2 linked regions of the Nothobranchius furzeri genome follow. The protein of the gene in region 1 binds, or shares a complex with, the protein of each later gene. Links are inferred from orthologs where the notes say so. Each region holds a gene or a part of one and is shown on either strand. Other genes may lie near its edges.

Evidence for each region.
Region 2: chd5 (region 1) and mta3 share a complex: the UniProt entries of both Homo sapiens proteins name them as parts of the nucleosome remodeling and deacetylase (NuRD) repressor complex. The link is inferred for Nothobranchius furzeri from reciprocal best matches to the Homo sapiens genes CHD5 and MTA3.

What each region holds. Positions count from the first base shown.
Region 1 is NC_091743.1:75,275,653-75,286,905, reverse strand, and holds the start of chd5 (chromodomain-helicase-DNA-binding protein 5), read right to left. Parts: upstream 5,709-11,253; 5' UTR 4,966-5,708; coding exon 4,899-4,965; intron 1-4,898. Other genes in the region: rpl22 (large ribosomal subunit protein eL22), read right to left, coding at 5,876-6,017, 7,652-7,776, 8,032-8,145, 8,208-8,243; rnf207a (RING finger protein 207), read left to right, coding at 10,115-10,305. UniProt on the Homo sapiens protein: ATP-dependent chromatin-remodeling factor that binds DNA through histones and regulates gene transcription. May specifically recognize and bind trimethylated 'Lys-27' (H3K27me3) and non-methylated 'Lys-4' of histone H3.
Region 2 is NC_091756.1:43,839,711-43,850,932, reverse strand, and holds the start of mta3 (metastasis-associated protein MTA3), read right to left. Parts: upstream 5,283-11,222; 5' UTR 5,102-5,282; coding exon 5,074-5,101; intron 2,935-5,073; coding exon 2,867-2,934; intron 511-2,866; coding exon 417-510; intron 1-416. UniProt on the Homo sapiens protein: Acts as a component of the histone deacetylase NuRD complex which participates in the remodeling of chromatin.

The DNA.
Region 1 (11,253 bases):
GGCTGGGTGATTAAGGGAATTGGACACAGGTGAGACTAATAACAGAGATGGGGAGCAGAACGGAGCAGGGGAGGAAACCAGACCTAACTGGGGAAGGAAGCAAAAATGAACCAAAGGGAGATACTGACTATATGATCCAAACATGACGGAAACCTAATGATAAGTGGGGTGACTGAAGGGAAACGTGAGGGAAACCTAGAGAGAACCTGGAGTGGGCTGGGGAACACAAGGAGGCACATGAGGAACACAAGGAGACACATAAGGGGGATGCAGAACAGGAGTGTAGGAAAGCAGAACGAAAGCGGAAAAAGGAAAAACTGCACGTATCTCTGAGGATGCTACGTGACAGTCTAACAAAATATCAGGAAGCATGAAGGATGTACATGTCAGTCTTTCTTCTGGGATCTCCACAGATGCTCACTCTAGGATTTTGTTTAAGCCACTGTCTCTGTTTGAAATCCTGGTTCTGCTGCTCCTGGATTTGTGCTGGGTCCTGTTCGTGACTTCTTGGATTTTTTTATTGAGAATGTGTAATCTCTCTGTTAATGTAGGTTTAGTTTTATTTTCTTTACCTGATGCTACATTTAATGAGTTTACACCAGCCTCTCTTTTACTGACCTGGTCATTCCTGCCAAAATGATGAAGCAGATGTTCACTGTTATTGGAAATTTGCTGCTCACTGCCTGTCTAAGATCGGGAATTGTCCCAGCTGCATTCAAACATGCTGTCATCAGACCGCTTTAAAATACACACTATTTGGACCCCTCTGTTCTATTTATAGACCAGTCTCACATCCATCGTATTTATCAAAGGCTTTGGAGAAAATCGTTCCACTGCAGCCATTTTTGGAAGAGAATTCCATCCTTGAAATTTCTCAATCCAGATTTAGATCTAGACATAGCACAGAAGCAGCCTTACTAAAGGTCCATAATAACCTAATGTTGTTGATGGGTCTTCCTATTGCTCTGGCCCTGCTGGGTCTCATGGCAGCATTAGACACAATAGATCAATAAATTCTCATCTCTCATTTAGAAAATGTAGGAACTTGTAGCACTGCATTAACCTGGTTCAGATCCTTTTTGTCCAGCAGAAGTTTCTGTGTCATGTAGGTAACACCTATTCATCCAGGACGAGCCTCCCATTTGGCGTACCCCAAGAATCTGTTTTAGGGCCTACACTTTTCTCCCTATACATGCTGCCGCTTGGAAATGTCCTTAAAAGACATAATCTGTCTTTCCATTGTTATGCTGATGATGTCCGAGTTTATCTGCCAGTAAAGTCCAGACATTGTGCTACAACTTCCTTACCACACTGCATGCATGACATAAAGCTTTGGTTGTCAGAAAACTTCTTACACTTCAATAATGACAAAAAACCGAGTGTTTTCTTTTTTCCAAACATGCAAAAGGTCACACTGTCAGACTTAGGATTTTTTACATCGAGTTTTAAACATCACATCAGAAATTCGGGGGGTCATATTTGACTTGGTTGTCAAAACTAGCTTCTGTCAGCTGAGCTCTGTGTTTTAGCTAAAGTACAACCATTTCCACGTTCTAAATTGTTTTAAACTGGCTCTTTTTACTGTGGTTTTTAAATAGTTTTATTGTAATTTTTATTTTATTTTTTCCATATTAAATGTGAAGCGCTTTGGTCACCCTCTGGGATGTGTAGAGCGCTATTTAAATAAACATTCATTCATTCATCTCACACAATATTAAAATGTCCTGGGTAACCTGTGAAAAACTATTGTCTAACACAAACACAAACAAACAAACAACGGCTATTCAGAGATCCACACCAGTTAGTGTCTTTTATTCTGGGTTGTAATCTGGTAATAATTTTAAAAAAGAAATGGTCCGGTTCTTCAATCAATCAATCAAAGCTTTATTTATAAATCGCCTTCCGCGACCCTGTCGGGAAGCCCAAGGCACTGAAGAGGGGTTTAACATTTACATTGAACGCATCTTTTTATTTAACAACTGATGATGACTATGCAGAGTTTTTGGAAGGAAATATCTTAACTACCCTTTAATCTGTCAGGTTGCCTTAGGGGGGGAAAGCTACAAGGAGAGAAAAGGTTTTGATTAGAGAGTGGACCTGATTGTGCCAGGTGTTGGACAGAAAAGACGGTTGCTCTGTCATTTGCCCGGGGGACGTCTGGCACCACTTCGGGTTGGGAAGACGACCAAAGCTTCACTCGCCAAACCGTTTCTCTGTAAAATGTGAATGGATGACAAACACACTGGTGACCTTCCAGCAGGGGCTTGGGATGCAGACTGACCCATTCAAATGAGATTCCCACCTCTCTGGGGTAAGGAGGCCGGAGTGTGTTAGGAAGCTCATTTATGACTGACAGCTCCACTTTCTTATTAATAAAAACAGCTGGAAAATAACTATTTTTAATAGGTAAATATCAGATGTCTTTAGGCAAAGCTGTTATTAGAACATAAATTCATCAAACTGGTGGAAGGATAAAGCCCGAGTTAAGTCTAGTTTCAGACGGGAGGGAAAAAAAGCTTGAAATACTGTATACACACACACACACACGCGCACACACAAAGACAGTCTTTTGCTTAGGCTACGCGCACGTACAGCAGAAAAATTGTGTCAACTTTCACAATGAGGGATCCAAAAATAGTCCCTCGTCCAACCGAGGACAACATTTGCAGGCAACACAAAAGCCTGTGATAATCTTTTAATTTGAGGAGAGAACTGAGCAAATAAAACAGAAACGTAACAAAACACAGTGACACGTTTAAGCTTCTCGAGTAACACAGAAGAACTTAGGCCAGGCCAAGTGCTAAGACAAGTAAAAGCTTTGATACGAAAGTGTCTGTGGCTCGAAGTCCCAACAGAGGTTTGTCTGAGATTCTTGACATGGTCGGAATTTAAAATGCTTCTTAATGGAAGTGAATTAACTTAGAATCACTTCTTGTTTTAGATGCATGATGGATTGGAAGCACTGAAGCGTTTTTATGAATCGTTGTCACATTTAGTTGCAAGCATTCTTCCTAATCTCTGCAGGAACTCTATTAAACTGTGCACCACCTACAGAGGTTATTGGGTTTATGAATACTAAATTAGCATTACCCTTTAAGCGTTGGTGAATTGAGTGGTTATATGTAGACAAATAATAAACAAATGAAAGCTTTTATCCTCAGATTTGACCTCTCTCTCCACGTAAAACCAAAGCGTTCTGTGGGCTTGAGTGAAATCATAAATATTTCTATTTGAAATGGTGTAACCTTGAGTCAGTTTTATGTGAAGCCATCTTGTGCAGAAATGTCACTGGAATTTTCCATTGTCAACTTTTTCACTTTCCGTCCATTTCATACCACCAAAACTTGGTTTTCCCCAACATTTGAAATGAAGCTGCATTGTATCAATTTCCCTCTGGGATTAATAAAGTATTTTTGAATTGAATTGAATATGAAACATTGTTTGTAGAGTTCAAAGCGCGATGCATACGTGAAATCAATGAAAGCTGGTATTACACCGGCTTTTACCACAGGTGCTTAGCAACAATCAGCCACTTGATCACCTTTACCCTATAACACTGGAGCAAGAAGCATGTAATTGTTTAGGACAGGAAGAGCGACCCAGAAGTCCTCTTCTGGTCCTCGGAGTAGATTTACGCGGGCCAGATTTCTTTTCATGGATGGTTGATTTTTGTCTCTCTAGTAGGGCTAAACGATATAGAAAAAATCATATTGATCAATATCAATAATTATTGAAAACTATATGAAAATATCACACATAGTTTAAGTGCAGCCCTGGCCATCTTAAATCCTTACTTTATGATAAAACAAGTCGGTTGCATCACCAGACTTGTTTTTTATCGATTCTCTGTTGCAAACCACCATTTTTTGTCCACGGCACAAAACATGCAGAATTAAAAAATAGCGTTTTTAGCCCCATTGACTTGCACTCATTTTTTTCCTTCTTCCGCGGACTCATGGTCCGGAAGTAGATGGGCGGGACTTAAGCTCCCTAAGGTGGTGTGTGTGTCTCTACCCCCCCCCCCCCCCCCCCCCAGGCAGAGAAGTATAAATTAGGCTTTAGGGAAATATACATTATGAAAGATTTTCCTAGGCTCATAGTGCAGGGTCAGTCTAACTAAAACATTTTTAAGTTACTTTAGAATTTTTAAACTATACATCCCAGCTTTAACTTGACCTTTCTGGCCATTGTCTTAAAAAGTTAAGACACTTCCGGTTTAGGACATGACTGGAACAGTCGCACTTAGAGCATCACAGGCCACACTGGGAACTTTGCCTTCCTAACAGTTCCTGACTGATTAGACCTGAAACTCATTAAAGAGGAGTGCATAGGCCCATATAACACAGCTCCTACGTTAAGGGGCATAGGCATTGTATTTGCAGTAACAAGAGAAATGGAAGAAATCTGGCTTGTGTGCAGCTGTCATGAGACCAGAACAGGGCTGCATCACAGAACATGGAGGTAGAGTGAATGTGGGGTATTGCACAACCTAGAGCAGGTGACAGGCTGTTCCTGGAGCCCACACGTGGCTTTCGCACCTCTGCGGTCATGCAATGCAACAAAATAAATTAATTAATAAAGTTCGAGCAGCTTCCTGGTCACAAAAGAGACATGGATGGCCTGAAGCCTGACAGAACACAGGAGCCTGCAGCCGGGTTTCCATGATGTCCCTAAAGCCGGCTGGATGTGAGGACAGCCGGAGGCAAAGCCAACATCACGTCAGCCTTCCAGACACCAGGTCGTGGAACAAGACGGGGAGAGTAAAAGGAATGACTGCTTATTGCACCTCCTCCTCCTCCTCCGTGGTATCGGGAGCGCAGGACAAGCCCTTTTCCCCGCATTCAAGGCGTAACGGCGCAAACCCATCTGAAGGACACCCCGCCTCCCGGATCCCTCACCTGGCACGTCGTCTTCAAAATCCATGTCGTCCTGTCCCTCGTCCTCATTACTCAGCGAGCCCGGCATCTTTATCTCATAGCCCCCAAAGCCCCTTTTAGGCTGGGAAAACTGGAAGTTAACCCTCCAGACGCCGCAGCCCAGCCGCTCTTCAGCCAATAACAACTCTCTGTTCACCGCTGCCGGGATTTCTTTAATTTGCAGCGAAAATAATAGAAAAATCTTCCCTTTAGATCAAAAATATACATGTAGAAAAATGAACATTAGGAAGGTTTCCACAGATCCCTATCCAGGTCTCGCAGTCTGAAAAATAAGAAAGACAAAAATGGAACACACATGCCCAGATTGTGACGTCTGGTCTGTTGCCATGACGATACATCCCATAGTTTCACCCATCAACTAGTTAGTCGCACGCTAGTTAATATTTTAACTAGTAGTGTTAAAATCAATCACAGCTGCGCGTCTCGTGCTGCAGCGGGAGAATCCGGACGCTTCCGCACAGGAAGTCTGAAGAATGGAGACGGAAACTTGTCCCGAACAGCCAGAGAGCTGCGTGGAGGGCTGAGACCTCACGCATCTCTGCTGGAGACAGGAGCCCGTCCTTATGAAACACATGGGTTACAATTCTGGTTCATTAACGCCACAAAGGTGCAGCTGATTAATCCCACATGATGACTTCCGGTGATCTGTTGCCAAGGTTACCACAGATGTAAAACAGGACAATGAAGCGCAGTTCATTTCTGTGCATCAGAACAACTTCCATTTACATATCTGACTTCCAGTTATTTGGTTTTCCAGCTTTTCCTGTTTTTCTGAAACTATTTAAATGCTGTTGATTCATAATTAAGACAAAAACTAAAGTACGACCTCTATAGTACGACCTTACAGGGAACTGATGTGCAACACAAAACAGAAGAAAAACAACAAAGACAGACTTTTTTCTTTTGTTTCGTGATTTTTATTAAGAGTATTGCTAGGTTTAATCTTCATCCTCCTCTTCCTCATCCTGGTTGATCTGGAAGTAGCGCAGCTCGTAGCTCTCCTTGGTGTTGGCCACAACCCGCAGCCAGTCCCTGAGGTTGTTCTTCTTCAGATACTTCTTGGTCAGATACTTTAAATACCTGAAAAAGAAAAAAAAGATGGAGGAGACAGGTGAGACGAGGTGGGACAGGATGTCTCGTCTTCACGGGAACAGTAATGTTTCATGTTATTTACTGGAATTGAGCCAGTGTGGTCGTAGCTTGAGCTTCCAGGGTTAGTATCTGATGTGTGTGGCGTGTGTGTGTGTGTGTGTGTGTGTGTGGGGGGGGGGGGGGGGGGGGGGGGGAGTAGTATGCAAAATGTAATAAAAATGTAAGACACCTCAGGAAAAAGCTCCACACTACAGTGGGAGCTAACGAGGTTCTCACTAAGTGAATAAGAATTAAATCTCTGATAACGTGCTCTGACTTTATTGGCTTACATATAAACAAGCTGTACATGCATAAAAAGCCATTCAAGTATTTTTACTATATTAATTTAGAAGGACAGATGACATTTATCTGGCATCAAGGTTGGTTGGAGCACCACCAGACTTCTTCTGGAGATTATTGAAGAACTTCATTGGCTAATGTCGCCCTCTGGTGGTGATGTTCTCATGTGGCGCTCTCTATTTTGGACTTGAAGCAAACACCAAAACTAGGTTTGATGTCTACCAACATTACTGAAACATCTTCTTTTACACCTAAAGAAGTTACACCAAATCAAACATCAATATCTTTATATTTGAGAAAAACGTTTCACTTGAACAAAACCTAAATAAGACTTGAAGCCCTTCTAATTTAAGGTCTTTAAACATGCTTTGCATCAAATAATCTAAAACTATATTTGTTTACAGCTGTTTATTACATCCTCTGACCCAACCTTTTCCCTTGAGGAGATGCTTATCAAACCCTAACTTCTACCCACATAAACACAATAAAAAGGGATTCATTTAGACAGACAGGTGTGACAGGATGAGCGTCCTGTCACAGTATCCCGATTGATCATGCGCTCTGGCTACTTGGCCAAGGGGATGTCACTTTAGCTGACTGGTAGGCACACGTGACTCTCACCCGGCGGTCTGGGGATCGAATCCCGCCCGGGCCCTCATTTCTCCACCTCGCCACACAGGGCAATAACTCATACCCAGCTTTAACTATAATATCAGGTGTGTTATCAGGATTTCATGAATGTATTCTTAACAAATACGATTTTGGCAATCTCACAACCTCCGCTTAGGACAATTTTGGTCACTGGCCCGAGGTTGGGAACTACTGTTCTGACGAACATACCCTCACACTGGATATGCTATTTGTCCCCCTCCACACATAGGATCGTTTTGGTCTGGTAGCATCACCTGAGGATATTGTTGTGAATCGGTGACTTTAGAGGGTTTACCACCCAGCTGAGAAGGTGACTAGCTGGGTGGCGTCTTCAGGTGGGAAAATGACAAACTAATGCAGTCACTGAGCAGTAAATACAAATATGATCAAAACCAAACGGGTAATTTCCAGTCGTTATGACTCTATTGCACATTTATGTTGCCAGTTGGCTGCTAACTTAGACTGTCCTCATAGATTGTCCCTAATTTAAGGTGGCACCACATCCTGTTCACAAACACTTCACCGTCCGTTTAACTGAAACCATTTCCTTGCACCGAGCATATTGCAAAGAAATGGGCTCACTGAGGTACACAAGACATTTCTGACACCAGGTATTATATTTCATGTTGTACCTCTTGGAGAAGGGCACTTCTGAGTTCACAGCGATTTTACTCTTGCTCCTCTCAATGGACACAACGCCACCACCCAGGTTTCCAGCTTTGCCGTTCACCTTAATGCGCTCCTGCAGGTACTGCTCCTGTTTGAGGACATCACACCACAGCAGGACTTGAACATAACTTCATGGCACGCATGCTTTTCTAAGTGAAACGATCTACTGTGATCTGAACACGTTTCCTATTGATGTGGATGTGATTAAAATGACGATACATCAAAATCATCTCTGTTTCTATGCTGATTACAGCATCCAGAAATATTTGGTTTGATCCATAAAACTGACACTTTACTGTTTATGTATTCCAGCTGCTGTCATTTGTGTCTGAAGGATACTTACAAAGTTGGCAGCATCCATAATGCCATCCTCCACAGGATGAGTGCAGTCCAGGGTGAACTTCAGGATCTGCTTCTTCTTCTTCCCACCTGGTTTCCTGAACACCTGCTGCTTCTTCTACAACACAAACACAAGAAGCTCAAACGTGAACTTGAACCAAAACCAAAAAAAAGAATCACCTTAGAATAACGAAACCAGCCCGGACTGGAAACCATCGGATAAAAACACGATGACAAGTTCGCACAAATGGGCAGGGAACGTGACCCCGAGTCGGAATTTCACTACTTAAAACAAAACTCTTGAAACAACTGAAAACACCCGTTTACTCCGTTGCGAGCTTCAGCTAGCTAACATTAGCGCTCGCGGCTAGCTCTGCGTGTTTTGGACCAACTACTGGAAGTACAGTCAGGTACGACGCCAGAACAGCATTTCTTATTTTACTGTGCTCCGGGTTTATACTCGGCTGTGGGTGGCTAATACAAGCTAAGCTGCGTTGTCTGTGTGCGCTTTATTTAGTCGTTTGACTACTCACTATGGGTGCCATGGCAGACACGCTCAGCAAAAAGGAAAGAGCTTCCGCTCTGCGCAGGAAGTACAATACCCACCTGCTAAATCGATTGGATCAAGCTATCTGGGGTTGATTATACAACCTATTCCCATGCCTTGTAGTCATGGGAATTCTGGCTCTTTTTAGAGAGCCGATTCTTTTGGCTCAGCTCACCAAAAAAAGCCGGCTCTTTCGGCTCCCAAGTGGCTCCTCAGATTTTCTGTTGTGTAGAGTACATTTATAACCAAAATAATGCAAAACTATATGCAAAATGATGTACTAATGTAAAAAAATGCTATATATCAAATATTTATCATTTCTATGGATTTAATAACTGAACACTTTCAGAAATCTCCACTTTCCGACTGCTGGCGCTCATTTTCTCACCGTCTTCGTTGCACTCTCCTCTCTCTCTCTCTCTCTCGCCTTTGTCCTCCTCCTCATTCCCTCTCGTCTCCCTCCGCCCGCATGTGCTCTGCTGTGTGTCTGAGTCTGATCCTCCCTCTTCCTCGCCCCTACTGCTCTGTGTGTGGACAGTCTGGACACGCAGTTACACATGCTGACCAATCAATCGCCTGTGGCTTTCACCAAAGCAAAAGGGGAGGGGGGAGGGGACGGCTCCCAATGACGAGCCGGCTCCCGTCGTTCACTTCAAAGAGCCGGCTCTTAGAGCCGGTTCGTTCGTGACCGACACATCACTAATGCCTTGGCTGTGCCGAAACGTTCTTATTATGAGAAATACCAAAATGATAATGGGAGACATTTATGACAGGATAAAGGTAACACGTAGCGGTGAGCCAGTGGGGATTTTGATTATCCACAAACTCTCCTTAAAATGTGATTGTTGTAGAAGTTTCTGAAGATATTATCTGCCCTGTTAACATGTGTTAATTACATTTCACCACTATTTTAGTGGATGGCAGTTCTCTAGTTCCTTATTTATTCCATGATTTTTCCTAAATAGCCCAAGGTACAATGAGTTTATGGCATCAGAAATAGGACAGGTGCATCATTCCAAACCCTGACAACAAAATTAAATGTCTCTTCTGAACTCTGGCAGCACTTGTGGGCTGGCACGAGGTGTGAGTAGTCAGCTGCCCGGTGGTTCAGACCCCGTCGGCCTACTATTGAAGAGTTTCTGCATTGTTGCCATTCCTGCTGGGGGTAGCTGATAGCACAACTGAAAGGTAAGACAGTGGCGGTCTGTTCTTTCCACAGACGGCCCCACTGTGGTTCGCTAGATACAATATTGGTGTTGACATGAAATCAGTTGTTATATATTTATGATACTTGGATTGGTGACCGAGTCACATCTGACAAGGTAAGACCAAAACAAACATCAGCTTGTTTTGTAACATCCCAGTCTTGATCTGTGTTTGATCATTCTCAGCTTAGCCACTCTTAGCACGACTGAAATATTTGGGCTGTTTTTCAAAACCACAACACGCGATTTGTTGTCCAGCGATAAGAGGATGTGCAACTTCAACTTGCAGCTATACATTTACCCGTTGTCATTGTTTTTACTAGGTCTGTCTTCAGATGGCAGGGGGAATCTTCTCCAACTTGAGCAACCCATGTGATGTGGATTGTGTAAATGTCCACCCTCTGGTGTGTCATCTGTGCCATGAGCAGTACAAATCTCCCTGCTTACTGGATTGCTACCACATTTTCTGTGCTCGCTGCCTGCGAGGTCGGACCAATGACTGCCGCCTCAGCTGCCCCCTCTGTGGGTAAGAGGACAGCACTCAGTAGTTCATCGGGGTAACTTTTGATTAGGACGTCTGCCTTGGAAATCTGAGCCACAATAACACACGTGATGTTAAGCCACAAATCCTCAACAAAGTGAAAATGGAGTCCAAGGTTGAGTAGGGATGCTTTTGGGGCCTATTAAAACACTTGATTCAGATTACAACATCTAACAGGTTGTGCATGTTGGACACAGCCGCTTGCATGGATGCATTTTATCCATGCACGTTCTGGTTGAGAGGAGAGCTGATAGAAAGGTTAGGCCCGAGTGGCTGCAGCAGCTGCAAACCCACCCCCACTTTCATTTAAGCCATTACACCCAACACTGTTCCATCAAGGCCAGTCACATTGAAGGTACACTGGTATTTGGCAGTGGTGCCGGCAGCTTCGGGTAATCAAAAGCAGTCACATGGTGCCAATTTGTTTAATTCCTTATTAAGGAAAAACTCGTGATTTGCAGACAACTTCAGGTCAAGAGTGCTTTAAACAAAGATCAGTCTGACTCAGTCACAGTCGAATCAACATTCTCTTTTCAGTGTACACTCTCCAAGGTTCAGAGAGTGTTGGTACAAATTTTGGTGCATGTTCTGGTCCTATCAGCACACGTCTTTTATCTTTAGTGCACAGCTGTGAAATGAAAAACAAGTATTTTAAAGCAAAGAACCTGACAGACAGTGGACCTTTTTGTTTACATTTCCATCTTCATCCTTCCAACAGCTGATTGGTCCAGATCGAGCACCGCCCGGCTGTTGGTCAAACACAATTATTAAATGAAAAAGCAATCAGCAGAACATTGTGGTATTTATGAATTCAACAGTCCTGTAGCTAATGTGGTTGCTGTGGCAGAGAATAGACACAAGTCATGTTTGACTGTAGTTTTTAAACATTTTTTACACCTTTGATGGGTTTGTTTAAATCTTGAAGCTACATTT
Region 2 (11,222 bases), on another chromosome or scaffold:
CAACAGAGGACATTAGCCGAGAACACACACCAGTGACTGCTGCTTGGCACTGATGCACTGGCAGATTCGGGGAAAAGACTACGACGTTTGAGCTGAATACTGACTGATGCCCATCACCACTCGTATGGGTGCGTCGCTAATTTAAACACATTTTTCACATTAATGTTTAATATAAGATCTAAAAGCAACTATTTCTGCCCTTGATTTGTTTAAGTTGCTTGTCAGGGACTAAAGATTCTCACCCAAAACAAAAGGAAGTACTTCCAACAATTATTAAACCAAACAAAAACTCAACACTGATCTGATTATTTTATGTTTTTGCTCAAGTTGATTTCTAAATAATAAATCCTAAAAGAGACAGTAACTTTCCTTCATAAACTAAAAGTGTGATAAAAGAAAAAGGGGTTAGCACTTACTTGCATGTTTATCTGCGAGCTGGATGAGGCTGTGAGAGATGTCTCTCCTTCTGTAAAAACAAACCACTTTGGCCTCAACATTCCCACTGGCGGTCTGAAACATAGAGGAGATAGATCCATGCTGACAAAAAAGAAGTGGAAAACACCTTTATGCTCAAAACTCAGATTTCCCCTGAGAGCCGGCTCCTTTGTATAGCTATCGAGCTCTGCCTCTGAGACAAGCTGACCAGTGTTTTCTAAAGAGATGATTGATTTACCGTCATGCTTTTTAACTCGTTAACACACTCAAACCGAGTTATTAAATGTCATGGCTCTGAGGGTAAATAGGACTAGCAGTCTTCATATCCTGCTGCTGTTTAGGAAAGTTGCAGGCAACGCCAGTCATTTTCCCACTATTTTTATGAGCACTAAAGATTTACGCTACCATAATCACAATGAAACACGGCCAAACATCAACTGCTAATGACTTCTGGTTCTTTGCAGCTTATCCGACTAATATAAACAACACGCAGCCTGCATTTTGCTGAGGGTCAGGTAGAACTGACTGTATTCTCTGTATCGTGTTGCCTGTTTCCCATTATTCTGCCTTTTTTATGACAATGCAGCCCTGGGTTGGCACCATCTCAAATATGATGAGTAAGATTTCTCTGACGTCTTAGCACAAGTACAATGCAGGAAGAGTATTAGAAATGTTACATGCTACACATGGCTAAACCATGCTATTTTCGGACCTGCCGACCTTATCAAAATTTTTGAGTACCACTTCTGTGGCATGTTTTCGCAGATTTTTTTCAACTCCATTACTTTCCCCTTTCTCTTGCTGGAAAATTACTATATGATAAAAAAAATACAACACTCATATTGTTTGGCTACTTCACTGTCTGGATAAATTTTCTTGAATAGTCCAAAAAAAATCATGTATTTTAATAATAAACAGTAAAAGGTAAAAGTTGTGCTTGCTTTCCTATTTAATATGTGTGCTTATACAAGGTGATAGCCACAAGTTAACTGCACTGAAATATTTCAATATTTAATCAAAATTAATAAAAACAATTTTTAAATATTATTTAATGGTAATATATTTCGTACATGGAAATAGGAGTTTTTGTTTTCAAGAATGTAATATTAAATTGGCTTAGAGCACATATCATCACTGGGGCTAATTTATACATTACCTGCAGCTCCCTGGTGGCTTATGTCCACATTATAATTGCAGAATGAGCAAAATGCATGATGAGGTAGTTTAGACTGGGTCGAAACATGGCCACTGTTCTTGATATTTAGGCAAAAACTTCTTAGAGACATGGACGGTCTTCTTTTTGGCAGGTCTGCTAACCAGTCCCTCCCTGTCTGCTTCTCCCTCATCTGCCATAGCATGGGTTGCAAATTGTGCTGCAAAATTTGTTGTCTAAATGTTTAAACAGTATAAATTATCACATTCCTCCTTATATACAGGCCAAATCTATCTGCAATGGATACATACAAAGGCAAAAGTACACACACACACACACACACACACACACACACAGTCGCCTCTCTCTTTTTTTTCCCCACTTAGATTTCGGCTCAAATTTTTTTCAACGGTGAAAGTAACGTTACGTGTAACGGTTCACATTCACCAAGAGATGGCTGGTCCCATTCCAGTCTGCTGACACACACACACACACACACACACACACACACACACACACACACACACACACACACACACACAGTTTACTTTTTTAAATGCCAGAACAGCATCGAGTGGGAATCGGAAGACGGAGAGGCAAACAGCAGGCAGGACACAGAATAAAGAACGGAGGGAGGGGGGGGGGGGGGGGGGGTGTTACTCTATAGATTAGGCACAATTTTCTTTCCTCCGCTTTCTACGATGATTGGTTTAAACGTCTTCACCACGCTGCTGAGTTGTGTTGTCAGACATGAGTATCACATGCGTAATTGCTTCAGAACGCACGTGTCTTCAGCTTTTTGCGTAGTTTAGAGGGGTTGCATACTTGCTACACAAAATGCGTACAGGTTGGCAGGTCTGTACTTTGACTATTTTGGTCTGCTATTCAGAGACATAAGTAACAAATTCTTAACCTATAGGTCAAAACATGAATATCTAGATGTGGCTTAATATTAGCAACAACATAAAAACCTTATGAGACCACAAGCACTTTTGTACCTGGTACAAGCTGAAAATGAATCCCCATTTGGCAGTTTTACTGCAACATTATGTACTTTTAAAAATGCCCATTTCAGTCATTACCTCACAAACACAATTCCACACCCAAATGGGTGTGTGCAGTGATAAAATGACAGTTAGGAAACAAAGGAACACCTGTCTATTTCAAACAATAACCATGAACACAGGGGCATTAGGTGGGGGTTGGAGGCAGGAATCCAAATTATTCACCCTCAGGCAAAAACACCCAAATAAATGACACAAGCAAACAACGCAGTACCTTGTTGAGTTCTTCTATCCGACGGATCAGGTAAGGGTTACTTGAGGAGTTTTCAAAGAAAACATAATCTGCAACAACAAAACATATTGCGTCAGATCACTATGGATAGATGTTCCTGTGGGACAAACCTCAGATGATGTTTGATCAATGCTAAACTGCATTGCTTGTCTTTATTTTTGCAATAATTGCATTAGGATGAACTGTTTCAGTCACAAAGCAACGTTCTAATTATTCTACTAGTTATTTCATGTTTTAGCTGGGAAAACTTGAATTTGACATGTTTAGGGGTGGGTTTTATACAGAAGACTGCAGAACTTAAAGGTGACATCAATATTACAAGAACAACTATACAGGTGATGTAATATGTGATGAACCATTAAATTTAGGCTATTTCAAAAACCTAAAGTAGTTTAAAGGTGAGGTATGTATTACTATAGATGTAAAGTTTCATCCTTCTTTATAAGTCACACTTAAAACACCCATAATTCAGTTCTCCATAGTCAAACTTCTTATTTAAGCTATCCATAATGTAATTCCTCCTACCTACAAATAACATATTTGATGTCTCACACTATTTCTAAAACATAAAATCCCCATTATTATGCATTAGACCTTCAGAACCAGAAAAAAAACAATGACATTCTTCCCATCCAGAATGCAAATCTCTTTTTGAAATATCTACAATCCATTTATTAAAAAGTAATCACAATATTAATTTCAAATAACCAAGGTAAAAAATTATTTCAGACACAATTTTTAAGTAAACAGAAATAAAATTCACGTTATTACATGTCAAAAGCTACTGCATTCGTAATTGAAATGTTTTTGTAGATGCATTCTGCAGACCTTTAATCCAAAGCGAGTGACCAATTAACCTAATTTTGCATGTTTTTGGTCTATAGGAGGAAACTGGAGAACCTGGAGGGAAAAACCCACACACGCACAGGGAAAACATGCAAACTCCATGTAGAAAACCTGCAGCTGGGATTTGAACCTGCAACCTTCTTGCTGCGGGACAATGGTGCCACCATGCAGCCTGCAATAACATCCATTATCAATGTAATCACAAATGTAAACAAAATGTTTAGTGCATTTATTAATCTTTGATGGGATGGTATTCTAACATAAAACAGGTGAAATTTAAATTAGCCATGACAACACTGGTGCTATCCTAGAAGCAGGTTGTCTGCTGATAATATTATGTTCCATGGTAGGAAGACTGTTAGCCCAATACACAAAGATGGGTAAAACAATTCATAATAACCAAAGTGAGGTGACATTCTGGATAATGGATACAAAACATTTATCATTTATGTTAAGTTTTCTAACGGAGTCAGTCAATTTTAATTACATCTGCACCACAGTCAAGTTTAATGTCTTAAATGTTGGATAATGTATTTTATCTCTTATTTCAACCAGCGCCAATATATTTTTGACCAGGAGCAATGCTATTATTATTACATAGAACAATGATTAAAGGTGTGTGTAATTAAAGATGTTACAACGGCCTGCCATACTCAGCGACGCCATGAAGACAATCACTTGATGTTGAATTCCAGGAGATTGCTAACGAGCTAGCCGCAAAGCCAGACTGTCTGATAAACTGCACGTTAGATAACTTTATATGTACATTGAGGAACAAAAGTAGTGTTTTAATGCTACCAAAACGAGTACAGACACTGCGTGGCTAATGAACGAGTGGTGACGAGGAGATAATGGTAATCAATGAAGCCACTGCTGCTGCTAACGTTAGCTAAATAAGACTAATGGCTGCATGCCAGAAGAGGCAAATACAAAGGCAGCCACATACTGGCCGTGGTACGATTTGAACAGCCGTATAAACACACGTCTAGTGGCGAGATACTACCACGTAACACTTCTCACTGTCGCCAGCCTAAGTATTCACACTGCACAAAAGAAGCTAAAGGTGCCGACGGTAGAAAAATGTTTACATTATGAGCGAGCCACCTAGCTGCTGGCGGCTAGCTGCGGTGGCCACGACAGACGCGAGGCCTGACCCATTTTGAAGCCCAAATATTAAGAAAACACTCACCTTCCGCTTCAAACTAACTCTTACACAGGAGTGCAGCACAGCCGCATCTTACAGTTACATGCAAAGTTATTAATATTTTACAATAACACCCAGGAGATGCAAACCCGAAAGCGTTTCCGTCAGTTAATAAAATGATCCACACTGACATACATACCTCCGACCCGGTACATGTTGGCCGCCATTTCTGCCCTCCCAGAGTGTACAGCATAAACTAAGAAATTTGGAATAAATAATTAATAATAAAAAAAAGATAAAACTCCGTCCCTCGAAAGATACGGGGTGCTTAAATTAGGATCGTCGACACTCCAGATGTATCGGGAGAGATTTGGCATTCAGCCCCCCCTCCTCCACCACCGATTCACGGCAGCACTTAACAATACAGTGAACTCACAGCAGCAGCCAAAAGAAGTCGGATGGAGCCGAAAAAGCACCGAGGAGGGGAGGGAGCCGCGCATGCGCACTGTCTGCCACAGAGACCCTCCAGGTGAGTGGTAGCATAGGTGGCATTACTGGTTCCAAACCAACTCAGCTTCTGTGACAAGGTTTGCAGCTGCAGAACAGACACACACTTTTGTCAATAAATTTAAGTTTATTTTTCCTCTTCAAATATGACAAAATCAAAATACATTCAATCAATACATGAACAAATATAAATCAATTGTTTTATTGCAAGACTATCTATCTATCTATCTATCTATCTATCTATCTATCTATCTATCTATCTATCTATCTATCTATCTATCTATCTATCTATCTATCTATCCATCCATCCATCCATCCATCCATCCATCCATCCATCCATCCATCCATCCATCCATCCATCTATCCATCTATCTATCTATCTATCTATCTATAGAGGTGTGACCAAGTCACTGCTTTGCAAGTCACAAGTAAGTCACAAGTCTTTCCAGACAAGTCTCGAGTCAAGTCCAAGTCAAAGGCACCAAAGCCCAAGTCGAGTCCAAAGTCAACAATGTGGAAGTCCAAGTCAAGTATGAGTCCTTAACTTTGAATTTTCAAGTCATAATCAAGTCATCTGTCCAACTTCAATTTAATGACATGATAATAAATAAATTTCAGAAATAAAGCTTCTTAAAGCTTCATTTATTTGCTCAAACAAGCAGAAAGTGCAACTCAAACTGATTATAAACAAATTGCTGCTGCATTTAGCAGTAAATCAAACCCAGAATGGAGAATGATTCATGATATTTGTCCACATCGTGCCACTTTTGTGCTAAAATATCAAATATGCTCAAGTCATCATCAAGTCAACAGCTGCAAGTAAATTCAAGTCGCAAGTCATTGGCGTTCAAGTCCGAGTCAAGTCGTAGGTCTTTATAGATTTTATCAAGTCAAGTCAGAAGTCATTAAAATAATGACCCAAACATGGAGAACTAACCACAGATCTTCTGTGGATGTAGGCTTCCTTACATCCTTCTGTATCTTCATTTAATCCCAGATCAGGCCTCTGTGGGGGCACACTATCGCTTCCAGGACTGCTTGTTCTTCTTTACACTGAAGATAGTTCTTAATTACTTTGTTTGTTTGTTTGTTTGTTAGGGTTGACTCATTTTACATTTTGTAAACTGATGAAAACAAACAATCATTATTTATGTCTGAAAACATTCTTTATTTACAGCTATTTTTGCACATGCCTAAACTGCCCATTAACAGTGCAAAATCAATTCCCTACCTCAGGCTAATTTAGTTTCCAGGTATGAGACAGCAACAAAAGTACTTATTTTATAGCAAGCCATCTTATACATGTAAATACAAAGGGACGCAAACGTTTGGCCAGCCTTGTCAATCTTCATGTTTTTCCTGTATAAATTGTTGGTTGTTATGATAAAAATGTTATGAAAAAAAATCATATAGGAGACACACACAGTGCTTTCTGAAAAGTGAAATAAACTTTACAGGCTTTATAGAAAGTGTGCAATAACTGTTTAAAACAAAATTAGGCAGGTGCATACATTTTTGCAACACACAAAAGAAATTAACTCAATATTTATTAGACCCTCCTTTTGCAAAAATAACTGCCTCTAAATGCTTCCTATAGCTTCCAATGAGAGTCTGGATTTTGGCTGAAGGTATTCTGGACCATTCTTCTTTACTAAACATCTCTGGTTCATTCAGGTTTGATTGCTTCTGAGCATGGACAGCTCTGTTTAACTCACACCACAGATTTTCAATAATATTCAGGTCTGGGGACTGAGATGGTCATTCCAGAACATTCTACTTGTTCCTCTGCATGAATGCCTTAGTAGATGTTGAGCAGTGTTTAGGGTTGTTGTCTTTTTGAAAGATCTAGCCCAGGTGCAGCTTCAGCTTTGTCACTGATTCCTGGACATTGATCTCCAGAATCTGCTGATATTGAGGGGAATCCATGTGCCCCTCAGCTTTAACAAGATTCCCAGTCCTTGCACTGGCCACACAGCCCCACAGCATGACGGAACCACCACCATGTTTTACTGTAGGTAGCAGGTGTTTTTTTTTTTTTTTTTTTGGAATGCTGTGTTATTTTTCCTCCATGTATAATGCCCCTGGTTATGCATAATGACCCTGGTTATGCCCAAATAACTCAATTTTAGTTTCATCAGTCGACGGCACCTTATTCCAAAATGAAGCTGGCTTGTCCAAATGTGCTTCAGCATACTTCAAGCAGCTCTGTTTATGCCTTGGGCAGAGAAAAGGCTTCCTCTGCATCACTCTCACATACTTGTAGAAAGTGTGCTGCGAAGCTGAACAATGCACAATGACTCCATCTGCAGTAAGATGATGTTGTAGGTCTTTGGTGCTGGTCTGGTGGTATGCTCTGACTGTTCTCACCATTCTTTGCTTTTGTTTATCTGAGATTTATTTTGGTCTGCCACTTGAAGCCTTAACTTGAACTGAGCCTTCCATTTCCTCAGTATGTTCCTAACTGTGGAAACAGAAGCTGAAGTCTCTGAGACAGCTTTCTGCATCTTTCCCCTGAACCATGATGGTGAACAATATTTGTTTTCAGATCTTTGAGAGTTGTTTGGAGACCCCCAAAGTTGTTTATCAGCAGCGGGTCTCACATTTAGCTGACTCTGATCTGTTTGAGGTTTTCCGATCAGGGTTCAGGTCTGGCCATAGCACAGAGTCGGCTCTACTGAGGGTCTTAAATGATATCTATCTATCACTTGATCAGGATACATTTGTGGTGCTTCTGTTGTTAAATCTGATGGCAGCTTTTTACACGGTTGACCACACGATTCTGCTTGATCACTTGGAACGATGGGTTGGGATCAAAGGGTCTGCTCTGGATTGGTTTAGATCGTATCTCCACAACAGGACATTCTGTGTTAAACTAGGTGATGTTTTTTCTTCTTGGGAGGGGCTCCATTGGGGGTCCCGCAGGGCTCAATCCTTGGTCCTCTTTTGTTTGCCATTTTTCTGCTTCCTCTGGGGTCAATCTTTTGTAAACATGGCCTAGTGTTCCATCTTATGCTGACGATTGCCAGATTTACTCTCCATCGTGTCAAGAGAAAGGTCTCTCCATCCAGTCCTTTGTGTCCTGTCTTAATGAGGTGAAGTCTTGGCTAATGGCCAACAATCTGCATCTAAATGAAGGAAAAATAGAGCTCATTGTTTTTCACCCCAACAGCAGGGCTGCGGGTCGCAATGTTGATCTTGACCCTCTTTCTCCCTATTTAAAACCAGTTGTCACCAGTTTGGGGGTGAAAATTGACGCAGGACTTAAATTTGATGCTCACATCAACTCTGTGATCCGGTCCAGTTTCTTTCATCTGAGACGCCTTGCAAAAATCAAGACTATGCTGTTGAGAGCCCACCTGGAGCTGGTACTCCATGCTTTTGTAATTTCTAGGCTTGATTACTACAACTCTCTATATGCAGGGTTGTGTCAGTCATCACTGCGTCACTTACAGGTTGTGCAGAACAGCGCAGCCAGGTATCTGACTGGGACCAGGAAATGGGACCACATCAGTCCGGTTCTGGCCTCCCTGCACTGGCTTCCGGTCTGTTATCGTTCACACTTAAAACTCCTGGTCTTTGTTTTCAGTTTCTTCCAGGGTGGTGCTCCCCCCTATCTTGCCACACTCCTGAACAGACATTCCCCATCACGCGCTCTGCGCTCCTCTGACCAAGGCCTGCTCGCTGTCCCTTGCTCTAGGTGTCGTACTCGTGGGGACCGGGCTTTCTCAGTCCTAGCTCCGTCACTCTGGAACCTAACCTGGCAAGCCAGACTAAATAAATGTATTATTTAGTCTGGCAATGCTCCATTGACGGCTCTCGGTTGTGGGGCGGGTTCTACCGTTGTCTTTCAAATGATCTCCGCATGCTACTGGACAATGAATGTGACATACTCTTGTTTCACTCTGTTGCATCATCCCACCCACCATGCATATAGAGTGACCTGATTGGCCCACAAAGCAGATAAAGCTCTGTGATTTGTTCACTAAGCAGATAGAGCACTATGACTGGCTCACCATTATGGACCAATCACAGCTCTTTATGTGTTTGAAACCCCTCTAGAGAGCTGTGATTGGCCAGCCAGAATGCTGTTGGGGCTGCAGAGGTTCCAGTGGAGCATTCCTAGACCAAACTTTTCAAAGCAAGAATTTGGTCTAGTTCACTAGGCTATCTGGAACCAGTTGCCACCTTCAGTTAGGCTGTCCCCATCTCTGCCAGTCTTTAAGAGTCGCCTAAAAACCCACCTCTTCTGCTTGGCATTCCCTGAACGTGTTTGAGTTTGGCCCTCTTTTATGTTGATTTTATTTCCCTGCTTTCATTTGTCTCTTTATCCCTTGTTTTACCCATTTGTCTTCTACTAGAATGTTTTACCTTTTTTGCACTATTTGAATTGCTTTTATTATTAATTTATTCATCATGTTTCACATTTCTCATGTACTGTGTTCAGCTCCTTGGGCTTCCCGACATGGTCGTGGAAGGCGCTTTATAAATAAAGCATTGATTGATTGATTGATTGATTGATTGATTGATTGGTTGATTGATTGATTGATACTCTTCAGATAAGTCGTGGCGGATGGCTGCTTATACTGAGCCAGGATCCTCTGGAGGTTTCTTCCTGTTAAAGGGGAGTTTTCCTCTCCACTGTCGCTGCATGCTTGCTTAGTATGAGGATTGCTGTAAAGACACTGACACCAGTCAGTGACTTGATACAATTTGCTAGGTTCCTTATATAGGAAACATTATTTTTGATTGGCTTAATGAACTGACCTGTATTGGAATGTTTTATTATGTGAAGTGCCTTGAGACGACTCTTGTCGTGATTTGGCGTTATATAAATAAACTTGAATTGAATTGAATAATATTCAAAGAGGAGGGAAACTTACAATTGGACTCCCTAAATACTATTTTTCATAATTGGATTCACCTGTGTATGGAGGTCAAAGGCCACTGAGCTTACCAAACAAATTTTGAGTTCCAATAATTAGTTTTTTGGAAAGGTTTTGGAGTCAATAAAATGACAATGATGCCCAAATTTATGCACCAACCTAATTTTGTTTAAACAATTATTGTCCTTTCTGTAAATCCTAGTTTCACTTCTCAAATATGTCTGTGTGTCTCCTGTATGATATACTGTATATGACTGTAAGAAAAAAGCTTTCTTCACAAGTGGAGGCTACCAAAATTATGGAGGCCAAATCTTGCAAGTCTGAAGATCTGTACCACTGCAAACTGGTTAAAGAAAAGTGGGACAGACAAGACAAAACAGAAATGTTAAACAAAGAAAATGACGATTTACTGGCTTTTCGTAAGACCCTAGAGGAAAATCTTCACATTAAGAATCTCCATGTCAGGAAAGAGGCACTGTCCCAAGTGATATCTTTGAACCCACACAAACAGAGAAATGTAAAGGATTATTTATACTTCTCCGTCTGCATGGGTATGCAGACTTGCAACACCATTATGTATTGGCGCAAGGGTTCTCCAACAGGCTCACAGAGAGTGACGGAGACATGCCCAAATTTTTAACTATCTGTCAAAAGTGACAGAGACCGCAACTTGTAATTGGTCAGGACATTGCTTCCTTTAACTTTGTCAACAGCATCACCATTGCCCTGTCAAAAAGTAAAAATATATTTAGCAGTGAACATGGAACAGACTGAAATATGAAAGTTTATTTACCTGTGACTGAAGGAGTACAAAGATACTCAGCCAGCATTTTATTCGTAGACGGAAATGATGGAAAACATGGGTTTCGAGGTTGCAACTGCATGAGGTGGAGGAGAATGACGGGCAAATTTGTCTGCATTATAAAGTCTCTGAAATACCAGCAGCAATGCCAGAGGC